2 linked regions of the Anolis sagrei genome follow. The protein of the gene in region 2 purifies or fractionates together with the protein of the main gene of each other region. This does not show direct contact. Links are inferred from orthologs where the notes say so. Each region holds a gene or a part of one and is shown on either strand. Other genes may lie near its edges.

The links.
Region 1: the proteins of LLGL2 (region 2) and PARD6A purify together in Homo sapiens (affinity purification with mass spectrometry; 5 studies listed by BioGRID and IntAct, with this or other methods). This does not show direct contact. The link is inferred for Anolis sagrei from reciprocal best matches to the Homo sapiens genes LLGL2 and PARD6A.

What each region holds. Positions count from the first base shown.
Region 1 is NC_090028.1:43,969,679-43,977,373, forward strand, and holds the start of PARD6A (partitioning defective 6 homolog alpha), read left to right. Parts: upstream 1-4,603; 5' UTR 4,604-4,674; coding exon 4,675-4,737; intron 4,738-7,695. UniProt on the Homo sapiens protein: Adapter protein involved in asymmetrical cell division and cell polarization processes. Probably involved in the formation of epithelial tight junctions.
Region 2 is NC_090022.1:117,844,019-117,851,213, reverse strand, and holds the start of LLGL2 (LLGL scribble cell polarity complex component 2), read right to left. Parts: upstream 3,041-7,195; 5' UTR 2,939-3,040; intron 2,821-2,938; exon of another isoform or gene 2,703-2,820; intron 1-2,702. UniProt on the Homo sapiens protein: Part of a complex with GPSM2/LGN, PRKCI/aPKC and PARD6B/Par-6, which may ensure the correct organization and orientation of bipolar spindles for normal cell division.

The DNA.
Region 1 (7,695 bases), on a different chromosome or scaffold from region 2:
TAGTTTTCTTAGATCTACAGAGACACTCGCTGGAACACCCCAGCAAGCGAGAGTCCAAAAGTGGCAGGCCCAAACCCAGCACCTCAATTCGTGGGTGATACCAGATGAGAAACTCCCCCCTGGGCACACAGAAGACTGGGTGACTTGGAAGGCGCTGAACAGACTGCGCTCTGGCACCACGAGATGCAGAGCCAATCTTAAGAAATGGGGCTACAGGGTGGAATCCACGGCATGCGAGTGCGGAGAAGAGCAAACCACTGACCACCTGCTGCAATGCACCCTGAGCCCTGCCACATGCACAATGGAGGATCTCCTTGCGGCAACCCCAGAGGCACTCCAAGTGGCCAGATACTGGTCAAAGGACATTTAACCAAATACCAAATTTGCAAAATCTGTGTGTTTTTTTTTTCCTTTTTCTTTTTAATCGGTGTGTTTGTTTTGCTCTGTTAGAATTGCAATACAATGGTTACTGATGACACGATAAATAAATAAATAGCAGCATGTAGTGCAAAACTTTAGTGGGGAGCTCAGGACAAGCGATTACTTAATCACACTAGAGAATGAATCCACTTTAAGTCCAGATTCTGCCTCCTGCAGAATTCTGGGGTTTGTAGTTTAATGAGGCTGTTAAAAGCTCCCCTCTAAACTACAAACCCCAGAATTCTGCAGGAGGCAGAATCTGGATTTAGAGTGGATTCATTCTCTAGCGTGATGAGGTCGCAAGTCCCACTGCAGCAGAAAAACCTCAAAAGAGACAAACCCCCTGAAATCCTACAACAATGCAAAATATGCATCCCACCCATGATAACCCGCACATAAGATGGTTATGCATCAATGTGCAGCCAAGGTTAAGGCTGTGCAGAGAGACCTCTGCCAGCCATATTCCAGAGTAGTCTAGCAGTGGATGAGAGGCTGAACGTCTGAGCTACACTGTGACAAGTCGGTAGAGGCAACATCTTTCAGCACCAAAGGCATCATCATCCCTTCCACATAGAGCGAATTGCAGCTTACCAAAGGAGAGGCCTTTTGGGTTCAGAAAGGGAACGGCTACTGCGAGAGAAGGAAAACATGCCTAGTGTCGAGAAATTGGATTTTCCCTTTCAGTGTCATTTAAACCTTAGAGCCTCTAAAAGAAATGTATTGGCAACAGTTTCAGAACAGGCCGTGCTTTGTCCCAAAATGCGCACCAGAACGGATCGTCTTATGTTTCTTACTTTTCATGATCAAGGAGATAAGATATGGCAAAGCGCACGACGACGGCACACTTTCCAAACTGATATGTAAACAAGGAGAAAGAAAGGAAGAAAGAAAGAAACCCAGCTTGGCAGCACGGCTGTTGCCAACTCTTACCCAATGTATTCCATCTCTAGCCAAGCCGAGAGATCCTTTCAAAGTGTAAAATCAAATTAAAAACAACAACAACAACAACAAAAGCATGCTATTAAACTGGGAGAAAAATCTCTTTCATGTCCAAAAAACCCCGTTTCAAACCCCCCCAGTGGCAGGAAAACTTGGCAACCGTCAGGGTGACAGCAAAAAGATCTAAAGGCTTTGATCCAAAAATAAATAAAGGAAGAGCGTCAAGTGTTTTCCCCAGTTTTTATTTCAAGTCTAAAATTCATGATGTTGAAACAGACTTGTGCGGCTGGAGAGAGGCCGGTCTGTTGTGGAGCCTTTGAAGACTTGTCACGGGCAGCTTCAGCCCATTCCTGGGTTTAAGAACTACTAGCCATCCCCTGCCACGCATTGCTGTGGCCCAGTCTGTGTATATGTGTTTTGTGCGTGTATATATGTGTATATGTGTCTGTGTATGTGTTTATGCATAAATATATATTTGTGCATGTGCGTATATATGTGTGTTTGCATATATATGTGTGTGGTTTTGCACATGCATTGGAATGTTGTTCTTTTTTAGGCTTTTAAGTCCCTTCTGCTGTGTTTTCCAGTGTTTTTCTGAGTGATGGTCACTCATTGGCCTGAGAGGGGTCTTGGTCCAAATTTGGTGTCCATTCGTCCAGTGGTTTTTCAGTTTCATTAATCCCACAAACAAACATTACATTTTTATTTATATAGACTAGCCATCCCCTGCCACACGTTGCTGTGACCCAGTCTGTGTATATGAGTTTTGTTTGTGTATGTATGTGTATATGTGTGTGTGTATGTGTTTATGCATAAATACACATGTGGTTATGCCAAAACCCACAGTGGGTTAAACTGTTAAACTTGCTAATGGAAAGGTCGTAGGTTCGAATCCGGGGAGTGGAGTGAGCTCCCTCTATTAGCCCCAGCTTCTGCCAACCTAGCTTGGGAGTGATCCTGGACTCATCGCTGAGCCTGGAACCCCAGGTCTTGGCGGTGGCCGGGAGAGCTTTTGCGCAATTAAAACTTGTGCACCAGTTGCACCCATACCTTGGGAAGTCTGATCTGGCCATGATGATCCATGCTCTTGTTACATCCCGAATAGACTACTGCAACGCGCTCTACGTGGGGTTGCCCTTGAAGACTGTTCGGAAACTTCAACTAGTCCAGCGAGTGGCAGCCAGATTGCTCACTGGAGCGACATACAGGGAGCACACCACCCCCCTGCTATGCCAGCTCCACTGGCTGCCAGTTCAATTCCGAGCACAATTCAAGGTGCTGGTTTTAACCTACAAAACCCTGTGCGGTTCTGGTCCAGTGTATCTGTCTGAACGTATCTCCCTTTACGTCCCACCTCGGAGTTTGAGATCATCTGGGGAGGCCCTGCTCTCGACCCCACCACTGTCACAAGTGAGGCTGGTGGGGACGAGAAGCAGGGCCTTCTCAGTGGTGACCCCTCACCTGTGGAACTCACTCCCGGGGGAAATTAGAGCATCACCATCCCTCCTCTCCTTCAGGAGGAGGGTGAAGACATGGTTGTGGAACCAGGCCTTTGGGCAACCAGGCAATTAAATAAGACAATTAAATAAGACAATCAGATGTGCAAGATCAGCAGGATTGTTGAAGTGGAATCAAAAACAGATCTATGAGTTAGTGTACACTGATAGGGTAGGAGGAAGAATTAGGTTTGTATTGATTTTATTGATTTTATCGATTTTAATTGTTTTTATTGGGATAATGGCTTGAATTGTGCTAACTATGAATTGTTGTACTTCTGTGATGATTGTTTTGTGTGGCAGGCATCTAAGCGTGCCTTTGCTGTTGTAAGCCGCCCTGGGTCCCCTACGAGGTGAGTAGGGCGGGGTACAAGAACCTCAAATAAATAAATAAATAAATAAATAAATAAATAAAATTCGAAAACATGCAAATGTGTGAGCAGATCAATAGGTACCTCTCTGGCGGGAAGGTAAGGGTGCTCCATGCAGTCATGCAGGCCACATGACTTTGGAGGTGTCTGTGGACAACGCCGGCTCTTGGGCTTAGAAATGGAGATGAGCACCAACACACACACACCCCGAATCGGAGACAACTGGACTTAATGTCAGTGGAACAATGTGGTTATGTGCGTGCATTGTAGTGTGGGTTTTTTTTTTTTTTTGGCTTTTTAAGTCTTGTCTGCTGTGTTTTTCAGTGTTTTTATAAGTGATGGTCACTCCGTGGCCTGATTGATGTATTGTCTGTTCTTTCCCTCCTTCCTTCTTTCCTTCCATTTCAGTCTTCCCTTCCTGCTTTCCTTCCTTTCTATCTTTTTTCTTTCCTTCCCTCCTTCCTTTTTCCTTGTCTTTCTTTCGCCTCTTCCTTCTTTCTTTCCTGCCTTTTTTTCCTTTCCTTCCTTTTCTGTCTTTCTTTCTCCCCTTCCTTATTTCCCTCCTTCCTTCTTTCCTTCCATTTCAGTCTTCCCTTCCGTCTTCCCTTCCTTTCTTTTTTCTTTCCTTCTTTCCTTTATTTTTTCTGTCTTTCCTTCTCTCCTGCCTTTTTTCCTTGTCTTTCTTTCTCCTCTTCCTTCTTTCTTTCTTGCCTTTTCCCCTTTCCTTCCATTTCAGTCTTCCCTTCCGTCTTTCCTTTCTATCTTTTTTCTTTCCTTCCTTCCTTTATTTTTTCTGTCTTTCCTTCCCTTCTTCCTTTTTTCCTTGTCTTTCTTTCTCCCCTTCCTTCCTTTCCTACCTTTTCCCTTTCCTTCCTTTCCTTCTTTCTTTCCTTCTTTCTTTCCTACCTTTTTTCCTTTCCTCTTTCCTTTCCTTTCCCACCTTCCTTCCTTCTTTCTTTCCTTTCCTTTCCTTCCTCCCTCCCTCCCTTCTGTTTCTGCCCCCCCCCCTCCCCAGCCGTGATGCTGCTCCCGACTCAGGTGCTGGACCCACAACCGGGATGGCAGCGGGGCAGGTCCCTGGCGAGGCGGGGTGGGGGTTGCGGGGTTGCGGGGGGGGGGGTGCGCCCCGGTTGCCAAGGCGACGTTGTGGGCCTCCCTCCCTCCTTCCCCGGGGGGGGGGGGCGTCCTGCTCGTCCCGCCCCTTTTCGGCGGCGCTTCTGCGGCCAATGGCGCGCCTCACTCTCCCGCAACCAACCTGCGGGGCCGGTGACGTCAGGCGCGGCGGCGGCGGCGGCGGCGGCGGCGGTGGTGGTGGCGGGGGCGAGATCCCCGGGTCCGCCTGCCTGCCTGCAGAGGAGGAGGAGGAGGCGGAGGCAGAGGGGGAGCCGGGCTAGCCCCCTCCTCTCCTCTGCTCTCCCTTTCCTCCTGTCCCGGTGGGTCCCCCCAGCATGGCCAAGCCCCACCGGACGCCGGCGCGCGCCTCCGAGCCCGTCATCGAGGTCAAGAGCAAGGTGAGCAGTAGTCCGCAGCAGGTGCCCTCCCTCTCCCCCCCCCACCCCGGGATGGATGGTGGGGGTCTCGGCGCCTCCGCCTCCTACGCCCCCCCCCCGCCCCCCAGGCGCCCTCCCAGCAGGGATTATGCAACCAGGAGGAGACCGGCTGGGGAGGGAGGGAGGGAGGCCTCCGGAGGGGGGGGGGGCTCCTTCCTCCTTCCTTCCTTCCTTCCTTCCTTCCCAGGCACAGCCATTGGTGAGAGAGGATGCTCCGGCTTCCCATTGCCTTCCCATCAGGAGCATTATTTTAGAGCACTGGTACTATTGTGTATCTCTCTGTGTGTGTGTGTATAGAGAGAGAGAGAGAGAGAGAAAGAGTTATTTTTCAATATTTTATTGCCATTATATTATTATTTTATATTACTATATATATATATATATATATATAAATAATTTTATCTCTGTTTATTATTATTATTATTATAGTATTATTGTATGCATATATATATTGTTTATATTATTTTGTTGACATTATATTATTACATGTATTATTTTATAGTATTATTGTATGTGTATATATAAACACATTGTTATTTTATATTATTTTGTTGCCATTGTATGTTATTTTATAATAGTATTATTATATATTGTTTTATTTCATATAATTTATTATTATTATAGTATTATTGTATGTGCATATATATAGTTATTTTATATTATTTTGTTGCTAATTATTATATATTATTTGATATTAATATTATTATATATTATTTTATTTCATATAATTTATTATTATTATAGTATTATTGTATGTACATATAGTTATTTTATATTATTTTGTTGCCATATTATTATATATTATTTGATATTAGTATTATAAACACACACATATATATACATATACATATATATAATTTCACATGAATCATATTATTTATTTATATTTATTTATATATTTATATTTATTTATATATTTTAGAGGACATTGACTGGAACAGCAATTCGACTGACAAGACTGTTTTATTGTTTTAATGCTTGTTGATGTATTGTTTTAACTTTGATTGATGTTTAATTGTGGTTTTACTATTGTAATTGTTTGTATTGGCATCGTATCGGTGCCGATGTAAGGCATTGAAACTTGCCATTATTTATGTGTAAATCGCTTTGAGGCCCCCCAGGGGTGAGAAAGGCAGGATATACATACTGTAAATAAAATAAATAAATAAATTTATGATTATTTTGTTAATATTATTAGTCTATTGTGTATTCAGTATATATTAATACTTTATATTATCTTATTCCTATTATTTCATATTATATTGCTATTATAATAATATAGTACAATATATTAATATAATACAATTGTATATTATGTATTACAGGTCATCTTACTAATAATTATTTGCAGTATAGTGGTGTAGTGCAATATAGTAATATATAACATTAGTATTGAGCTATGCTAATAATATCATATATTGTATATAGATATAATATTTATAATAATATTATAATGTAATACAATATGATACTAATAATAATACAATATTACAATATGTAGTAAGAATATTGCAATATAGTAATGGCCTCCTGGTGGTGCAGTGGGTTAAACTGCTGAGCTGCTGAACTTGCTGACCAAATGGTTGGTGGTTCGAATCCAGGGAGCAGGGTGAGCTCCTGCTGTTAGTCCCAGCTTCTGCCAAACTAGCAGTTCAAAAACATGCAGATGTGAGTATATTAATAGGTACTGCTTCGGCAGCAAGGTAATGGTGCTCCATGCAGACATGCCAGTGGCCACATGACCTTGGAAGCGTCTACGGACAATGCCGGCTCTTCAGCTTAGAAATGAAGATGAGCACCCTAGTCTTGTCCAACTCTGGGGATTGGTGCTCATAGAATCCTAGAATCCAAGAGTTGGAAGAGACCTCCTGGGCCATCATCCAGTCCAACCCCATTCTGCCAGGAAGCAGGAATATTGCATTCAAATCACCCCTGACAGATGGCCATCCAGCCTCTGCTTAAATGCTTCCAAAGACGGAGCCTCCACCACACTCCGGGGCAGAGAGTTCCACTGCTGAACAGCTCTCACAGCCAGGAAGTTCTTCCTCATGTTCAGATGGAATCTCCTTTCTTGTAGTTTGAAGCTATTGCTCCATTGCGTCCTAGTCTCCAAGGAAGCAGAAAACAAGCTTGCTCCCTCCTCCTCCCTGTGGCTTCCTCTCACCTCCTGATCCATGGCCCTCATCATGTCTCCTCTCAGCCTTCTCTTCTTCAGGCTAAACACACCCAGCTCCTTAAGCCGCTCCTCATAGGGCTTGTTCTCCAGGCCCTTGATCATTTTGTTGTTGTTCATTCGTTCAGTCGTCTCCGACTCTTCGTGACCTCATGGACCAGCCCACGCCAGAGCTCCCTGTCGGCCGTTACCACCCCCAGCTCCCTCAAGGTCAGTCCAGTCACTTCAAGGATGCCATCCATCCATCTTGCCCTTGGTCGGCCCCTCTTCCTTTTGCCTTCCACTTTCCCCAGCATAATTGTCTTCTCTAGGCTTTCCTGTCTCCTCATGATGTGGCCAAAGTACTTCAACTTTGTCTCTATTGATCATTTTAGACGCCCTCTTCCTCTGGACACATTCCAGCTTGTCAATATCTCTCTTCAATTGTGGCGCCCAGAATTGGACACAATATTCCAGGTGTGGTCTAACCAAAGCATCTCCATTTCTAAGCCGAAGAGCTGGCGTTGTCCATAGACGCCTCCAAGGTCATGTGGCCAGCATGACTGTATGGAGTGCTGTTACCTTCCCGCTGGAGTGATACTTATTGATCTACTCACATTTGCATGTTTTCAAATTGCTAGGTTGGCAGAAGCTGGGGCTAACAGTGGGAGCTCACCCAACTCCCTGAATTCGATCAGCAAGTTCAACAGCTCACTGCACCACCGGGGGGAGGGGGGCGAATATTTTTCAACTTATTAAAATATTAC
Region 2 (7,195 bases):
GGGGCTGCACAATCTCCAGCCCTATGATTGGGGAAGGCAGAATTGCATGGCCGTCTGCTGTCCCTCAAAGGCAAAGATGACAACCATTTTCACAGCAGAACAGGTAGAGGTGAAGGGCAAAGGAAGCAAGTCATTGATCTAGAATAATAAGCCATTGTCTGAGCCTGGGAATGAAAACCTGGTGAAAGACTATTAATAAGACAACCACAGAGGGATTTATTCCCAACAATAAGGGAAAGTATTTCAAAGGGATCCAGTTTTCACCAAAACAGGCTGGAATAAATGAGACCTGGTAATGTGTTGCCCTTCCTCCAACAATGTCCCTATTTCAGCCAACAATCCTTTACTGTCTGAAGAATCCCGCTTGCATTAGAAACTGTAGTTTGGATGCTCTGCCTCCAAATAAGACTCCAAGAAAAGCAGGAAAGGAGTTTACAAGCCTTTAGGTGTGGGATTTTGTTAGCTTCCTGCTTTGCTTTGCCTCAGGGGGTGTAGCAAGGCCATTTTCAGTAGTCGAAACTCAACAAGACAAGCCCCTTTATTAGGCAGGGAGTTCTGTCGATTCAAATTGCTAAAAGATTGCATGGAGGTTTCAGTTTGCCTCAGGCTTATCAGCAGAGGCAGTCATTACATCAAACCAACTTCAGCAAAGTTATTTTTGTACTACAACTCCCAGAATGCCCCATCCCGTCAGGTTATAGAAATTGTTTTCTGGAAGATAAATTCAAGTTGTTATAGCCCAAAGATAAATTTCCTCAGGCTTTAATTTAAGTCAAACCTGGTTCAGTTTGTGAACGACAGTCATCTCCATAAAGAATAGCTACTTAATTCAGGATAGCTTTTTACAACTTAAGAACTGGTTGCCTGTATTAAAAACTCCATGACATCAAATAAAGAGCAACAGTCAAAAAACAGGGAATTTCAGACAGGAAACAATCAGGGCCAGCTAACACCTCCCAAAAAAGGATACCACAGGCAGGAAACAGCCAGGCTTTGAAGCTGCCAGGCTATTCAATGCTAATCAAGCTGGCCAATTGCAACATTCACACTTGCCTCAAGCAGACAAGAGTTCTTTCTCCCAACCTGGACATTCCACAGATATATAAACCTCACTGGCCTAGTTTCTAGCAGACTTCATAACCTCTGAGGATGCCTGCCGTAGATGTGGGTGAAACATCAGGGGGGAATGCTCCTGGAACATGGCCATACTGCCTGGAAAACTCACAGCAACCCAACTTCAGAACTATCTCGATCAAGGATACATCTACACTATAGAATTAATGCAGTTTGACCCCACTTCAACTGCCATAGCTAGTTTTAAAAGATCTATAGCTTTCTCTGTTAGAGTACTGGTGCCTCGCCAAACTACAACATCCACAATTCCATAGCATTGAATCATGGCAGTTAAAAGTGGGATCAAACTGTTTTATAGAATCATAGAGTTGGAAGAGACCTTGTGGGCCATCCAGTCCAACCCCATTCTGCCAAGAAGCAGGGAAATTGAATTCAAAGCACCCCCGATAGATGGCCATCCAGCCTCTGTTTAAAGACTCCAAAGAAGGCGCCTCTTACTGTATAGAAGTTTTAATCTTACTGTATAGATGCACCCTAAATGTGCCAAAGCATTGGCTTTCTCTCATTGCATAAATTAACCCTCAAATCTCTGTCTTGTGGCAAGATCATTGTCTGCTTTCTGCCAAGCACTTTTATTCTATTCAAGCAAGCTTACAAAAGGAAGCACTTTTATGCCAAATGACTACCTTGGCCTTCGTCAACTCATAAAGTGGCATTAAGGAAAAAAAGAGAGCAACCTGAAACAAATAATAGCCACGGGGAGCGAGGTTATAGCCTTGCTTTGCTGCTCACCCTGGCACCTGTGCAAACAAAAGTGTCCTTATAGGGAGAAGAGCAAACCACCTCCCAGAATACCTTCGGTTTCAAGCCACACTGCAAGGCCAGGCGAACAAAGCACCAGAAAGGCCGCACCACACCCGGAAACCTAACACCTGGAACTAGTTCCTTTCACCCAGGTAAGTCTCTCAGCCCACAATGGCAGGCTCCCCAAGGTCGGCCCACCCTCACCTTTAGCAAAGCCTCATCCAACCTGAGATACTGTCAGATCCAACCCCATCCACCCAAAAACTCTTGTGTCCTAGTGTTTGCGAGTGCATCTACACCAGGCATGGGCAAACTTAGGCCCTCCAGGTGTTTTGGACTCCAACTCCCACAATTCCTAACAGGAATTGTGGGAGTTGAAATCCAAAATACATGGAGGGCCCAAGTTTGCCCATGCCTGGTCTACACTGTTGAATTAATGCGGTCCAGCACCAGTTTAATTGCTATGCCACAATGCTATGGAATCCTGGGAGCTGTAGTTTGATGAAGCCCAGCACTCTCTGGCAGAGAAGGCTACAGACCTAATGAAACCACAACTCCCTGGATCCCAAAGCATTGAACCATGGTAGTTAAAGTGGTATCAAAGTGCATTCATTCAGCAGTGTGGATGCACCCTCAATCAGATCCTAACAAGAGAGCTGATTGGAGTACACAGCAAGTGTCAGGCTCCAGACAGCCCCCCTCCCCCAAACCCTGGCCTTCTACCCCATCCCCCTCATACTTGAGGTCAAAAGAGAAGCACCCCAAATCTGTTCCCATACCCTCCCCAAAACACACACTTCAGCAAAGCCCGGCTGCAAACTTACCTTCCAGCAGGGAGGCAAAGCTGTAACCCCACCCCACAAGGAAGGAAGGAAGGAAGGAAGGAAAGCTTGCCTCTTCCCTTTTCTTTCTTTCTTTCTCTCTCCCTCGATCTCTCTCTTTCTCTCCCTCCCAACCCCACCCCCTTACTTGCAGCCTTGGCCCTATTTCCACGCCCACCCTCTCCTTTCTCTCTCTCCCCCCCCCCCCTTCCTCCGGCTCTCCATATCTCGTTGCTTACCGCACAATCTCGCCCTTCGAGCAGCAGCAGCAGCAGCAGCGCCGCCGCCTCGCCTTCCTGGATACCTCCGGGAGGGGGCGTTCCCGCCGGATATGCAAATGAGCCCCGGCGAAAGGGCGGGGTTAGCGCGGCGCCTTCTTTCAACCCGGCTCCTGAGTCATTATTCACCGCAGCCAATCGGGAGTCAGAGCTCATACCCCCCCCCCTCCTCCTCCTTCTTCCTCCGCCTTTCTCTTCTATCTCTCACTCTTTAGCTCTGGCCAATAGAAAAAGAGCAGAGGGAGCGGGGGGGGGGGGGGGGAGAGGAAGGGAGAATTGGAATCAGAAGTGCATGCTCCTTCTGAGCCAATGGGGAGGGGAGGGGAGAGTAGGGGGTGTATTTTTCACACTACACTGTAATGAGCATGCCTGCCATAGATGCAGGCGAAACGTCAGGAGAAAATGCTTCTGGAACATGGCCATACAGTTAATCTTTAACTTACAAAAACCCCATCATTAATTCTTTCTGACACTACTTTACTGCCATGCGATAGGATCCAGGGAGTTTGGTGATTTCCCAATACTTAGCAGCAGCAGAGAAGGCTACAGACCTTGCAAAACTACATGACAGTTAATGGTGTCAATATGCATCAATTCTTCCGTGTAGATGCATCCTTAAGCCACTATACTAGCTCTCTCTATATTCTGCCCACCCCATTTTAAGCCAATTGACTGTTAAGACCCAAACCCAAGTTCTGCATTAGTTTCAAAATCAAATTGTATTTCCTCTCTTCTAATTTTTGTGCTGCGGCCTTATTTCTGGAGCAGAAAAAGAAAAGGTAAAGGTTTTCCCCTGACATTGTCTAGTCATGTCTGACTCTGGGGGTTAGTGCTTGTCACCATTTCTAAGCCGAAGCGCTGGTGTTGTCCGTAGACGCCTCCAAAGTCATGTGGCTGGCATGACTGCATGGAGCACCGTTACCTTCCTTCTGGAGCAGTAGCTATTCATCTACTCACATTTGCATGTTTTCAAACTGCTAGGCTGGCAGAAGCTAAGCCGTATTGTAGGGGTCCCTTAGAGAGCCAAAGAATGCCCCATGGGATCCTAACTGAACGATGCTTCTTATTCTAAACATGAAGGGAGAATTTCATTTTCCAGGGTAGCTTTTAGAAGTCAGTGCTCCACTACATTAATTAAATGTGGGTATAGCTATGGCCCCATCTACATTGCCATAAAATGCAGTGTCAAGCTGCATTATATGGCAGCATACATGGGGCCAATGTGGGTCACAGTGACAAGAAAATATTTGTAGTTGTGACTCAGTGGAATCATTGCCTATTTCTTCCATCTCCCCCTCAAAGCCGACAAATCTTTAACAGGTAATAATTATCGGTGCCAATGATGTTTCTTTCATCATCCCATGCAGGAAACAGCTTTATTATTAGCCTTTAAAGGTGTCACAAAACAGCTTCCTATTCATGCAAGAAACTTTTTTGTGAACTTTGTGGTGACAAGAGCATGAGATATGTTATCCTACCAGGAACTAAAGGAACAAACTTCAAGTGTACCTTTAGGCTACGACTGGACACAAAATGTTTTGAAAAGGACTATTACAACAATAAGAGGCATACCAGGAAGTAAACTACATCATTTGATAGGATCTATGGTTGAGTAAACAAATTCAGATTAAAGGTTGCAAGCCTCAGTGAATGAAGGCGGGAGACCTATCATTTGTTTAACCATGATCATAATCATCGTTTCTCTCTGTATATATTTCAAAGTATATATGTATGCATGCATATTTTTCCATTTGTACCACAAAGGAGGTTATTAGGTGAAGTGGCCCTTTGTGATGTCACTGGATTGTTTGTGGCTATATAAAGGTGTCCTCTGTGATGTCACTCGGAAAGAAAGGGGACACAATTACGAGCAGAAAGAAAGAAAGAGAATAAAGAAAGGAAAGGCAATGATAGGAGGGAGTGGGGGAGAAAGAAAAGGGAAACATTGTGAAATAGCCTTTTCAGAGCTGAAGAAGGGAGAAAGTAGACAGGCAGTGGTACCATCAACACCTGGGAATGCCAGGTATATAAGCTAGTTTAGTATATTTTTAAAAGTACCATATTTCACTGCATAATAGTCACACTTTTCTCACCTTTTTTGCTTTTTTGTGACTATTACATTGTGGCAACTATTACAGGGTGAAAAAATTTCCAGCTATGGGGCTTCACTTGGCTGCCAGACAAGTGAAGCCCTGTAGCTAGAAAGGGGGCAGGTGTGTGGTCGAGTGAAGCTTCCCCTGCCTACATGCCTGCCCCATTTACAACTATGGGGTTTCACTTGGAGCTTCACCAGCCAAGTGAAACCCCATCTCTCCAAGGAAGCAGGCACATGGGTGAGTTGCACCCTTCCTTCACTCGCCCAAGCAGATGTGCAGGCAAGTGAATAAAAGGTGCACTTATTGTGAGGAACAGAAAAATACTAATTTCCCACCCTAAAAATGGGCGTGTGACTATTATTCAGTGACAACTATTGTGTGAGGATATTTTTAGTTAGTAACCACACGGGCTGTAGTTAATACACGGTAATACAAGGGTTGGCAGAGTGAAACTGGAAAGACTCCTGGACCTTAAATGGTTGTGCAGAGCAAAACAGAGTATGTCACCTTCTTACCTGCTTGTCTGACATTCAACATCCACCAAAATGTCCTCTTCTACACAAGCATTAAAGGCACAGGAACACTCTCACTCTGGCAACTGGAAGTAAACAATACAAAGAAAACAAGGACTAATTTCTCCAAAAGGTGCCATTCTTTGTGGCATTGCATTTAAAACATTAGCCTTTAATACATCTGCACCAGGTTGTGATGTGTTATTTCTTCCATATTATCCGACTTCAGAAGGGGAATTGCACAGAACCAGTTGATTTGTAATTGAGATGTGAGTCATAGCTCAGGAGAAGCAGTCAATGTGTGCCGGGCAAAGTATCAGAAGAAATATGAGCCAATAGATTTAGTTTCAGCTGAATTACAGAGATTGTGAATTTAACCCCAGGGGATTTCCTGTCTCTTTCATCTAGTCCTTGTTTCTTTTCTTTCTTTCTTCTTTTTCCCTAGCAAGCTGCTCACTGAGGCCCCTGTGATGGCTGAGCAAGAACTGAAACTAAATCCCAGGGTGGGACCTGTCCTCCTTCACCTGTTTTGTGACACTGCTCTGTAGTACAGAACACATTGTTAAGCAACACAAAACTGGAAACTCCAGAAAGCCTGCATAAATCCTTCTTCTGGTTTGATAATAATTTTGCCCGTGTCCCTGGATACAAACACTCTCCTGATCTGTCATTCTGTCTCCAAATTGAAGGGATGACTGATATTTGGTTTGGTAAGACACCCAGTTAATAAGTAGTTTTTTACTGGACTACTTCCAAGGAGTGCATATGATTTATTCCAACGTTGAGGATTTTTTATTTACTGTACTGTCAGGAAGGTGATCCCTGTTTGACCAACATAAAGTGGATTCTTTACAAATAAATTGGATGGGGATAGAAATATTAAGGTACTGGATTACTAGAAGACATGTTGGGCTTATTTCCTCCATCCTCCTGTCTGCACAAAGCCAAAGCTATTTTTTTACTGATGGCTTTGTTGTCAAACACCAATCCCCCCCCCCACCACCACCACCACCACCACCATGGAAATGCAGTATCTGCGGGAGTTGTAGTTTCCTGGGGGCGGAGGGCCTCCATGAGTTGCCATGGCCCTCACCTCACTGAGTCTCCCCAGTTGCACCTAAGCACTCCTGATCAGCGACGCATAACCCCCATTTTCCAAAAACCCTGCCAACTCAGCTGGTTTACTGGGATCTTTCTGGAGCAGCGCACAACCAGAGCCCAGGGAAGCCAGCAATGGCTGGTGCCACAGAGTATCAACCTGCCTCACTGCCAGAGATACACTATATCTCTCTTCCTCCCTCGCTAGACTTCATTGCTTTCTCCTCCACTTCGCCCCACTATCTATAACTATTTTCTTTTTATTATTTTTCCCACTGCAAACCTGCACATGTGCACATCACATCATATAACAAAAATAAGGCAATCAACCCTCTCCCGCCTCTAAACATGTATGAAATAAGACACATTCTCTTTTCATCGGTATTTATTTATGAAATTATAAACTTTGAAGGTAAAACTGAAGCGTATTCCAATAAACTCTGAACATCTTCACTCCAGGATCCCTCCCAGCCCGCGGCCAGTTTTGGATAACCATCAAGGTGACAAAGACC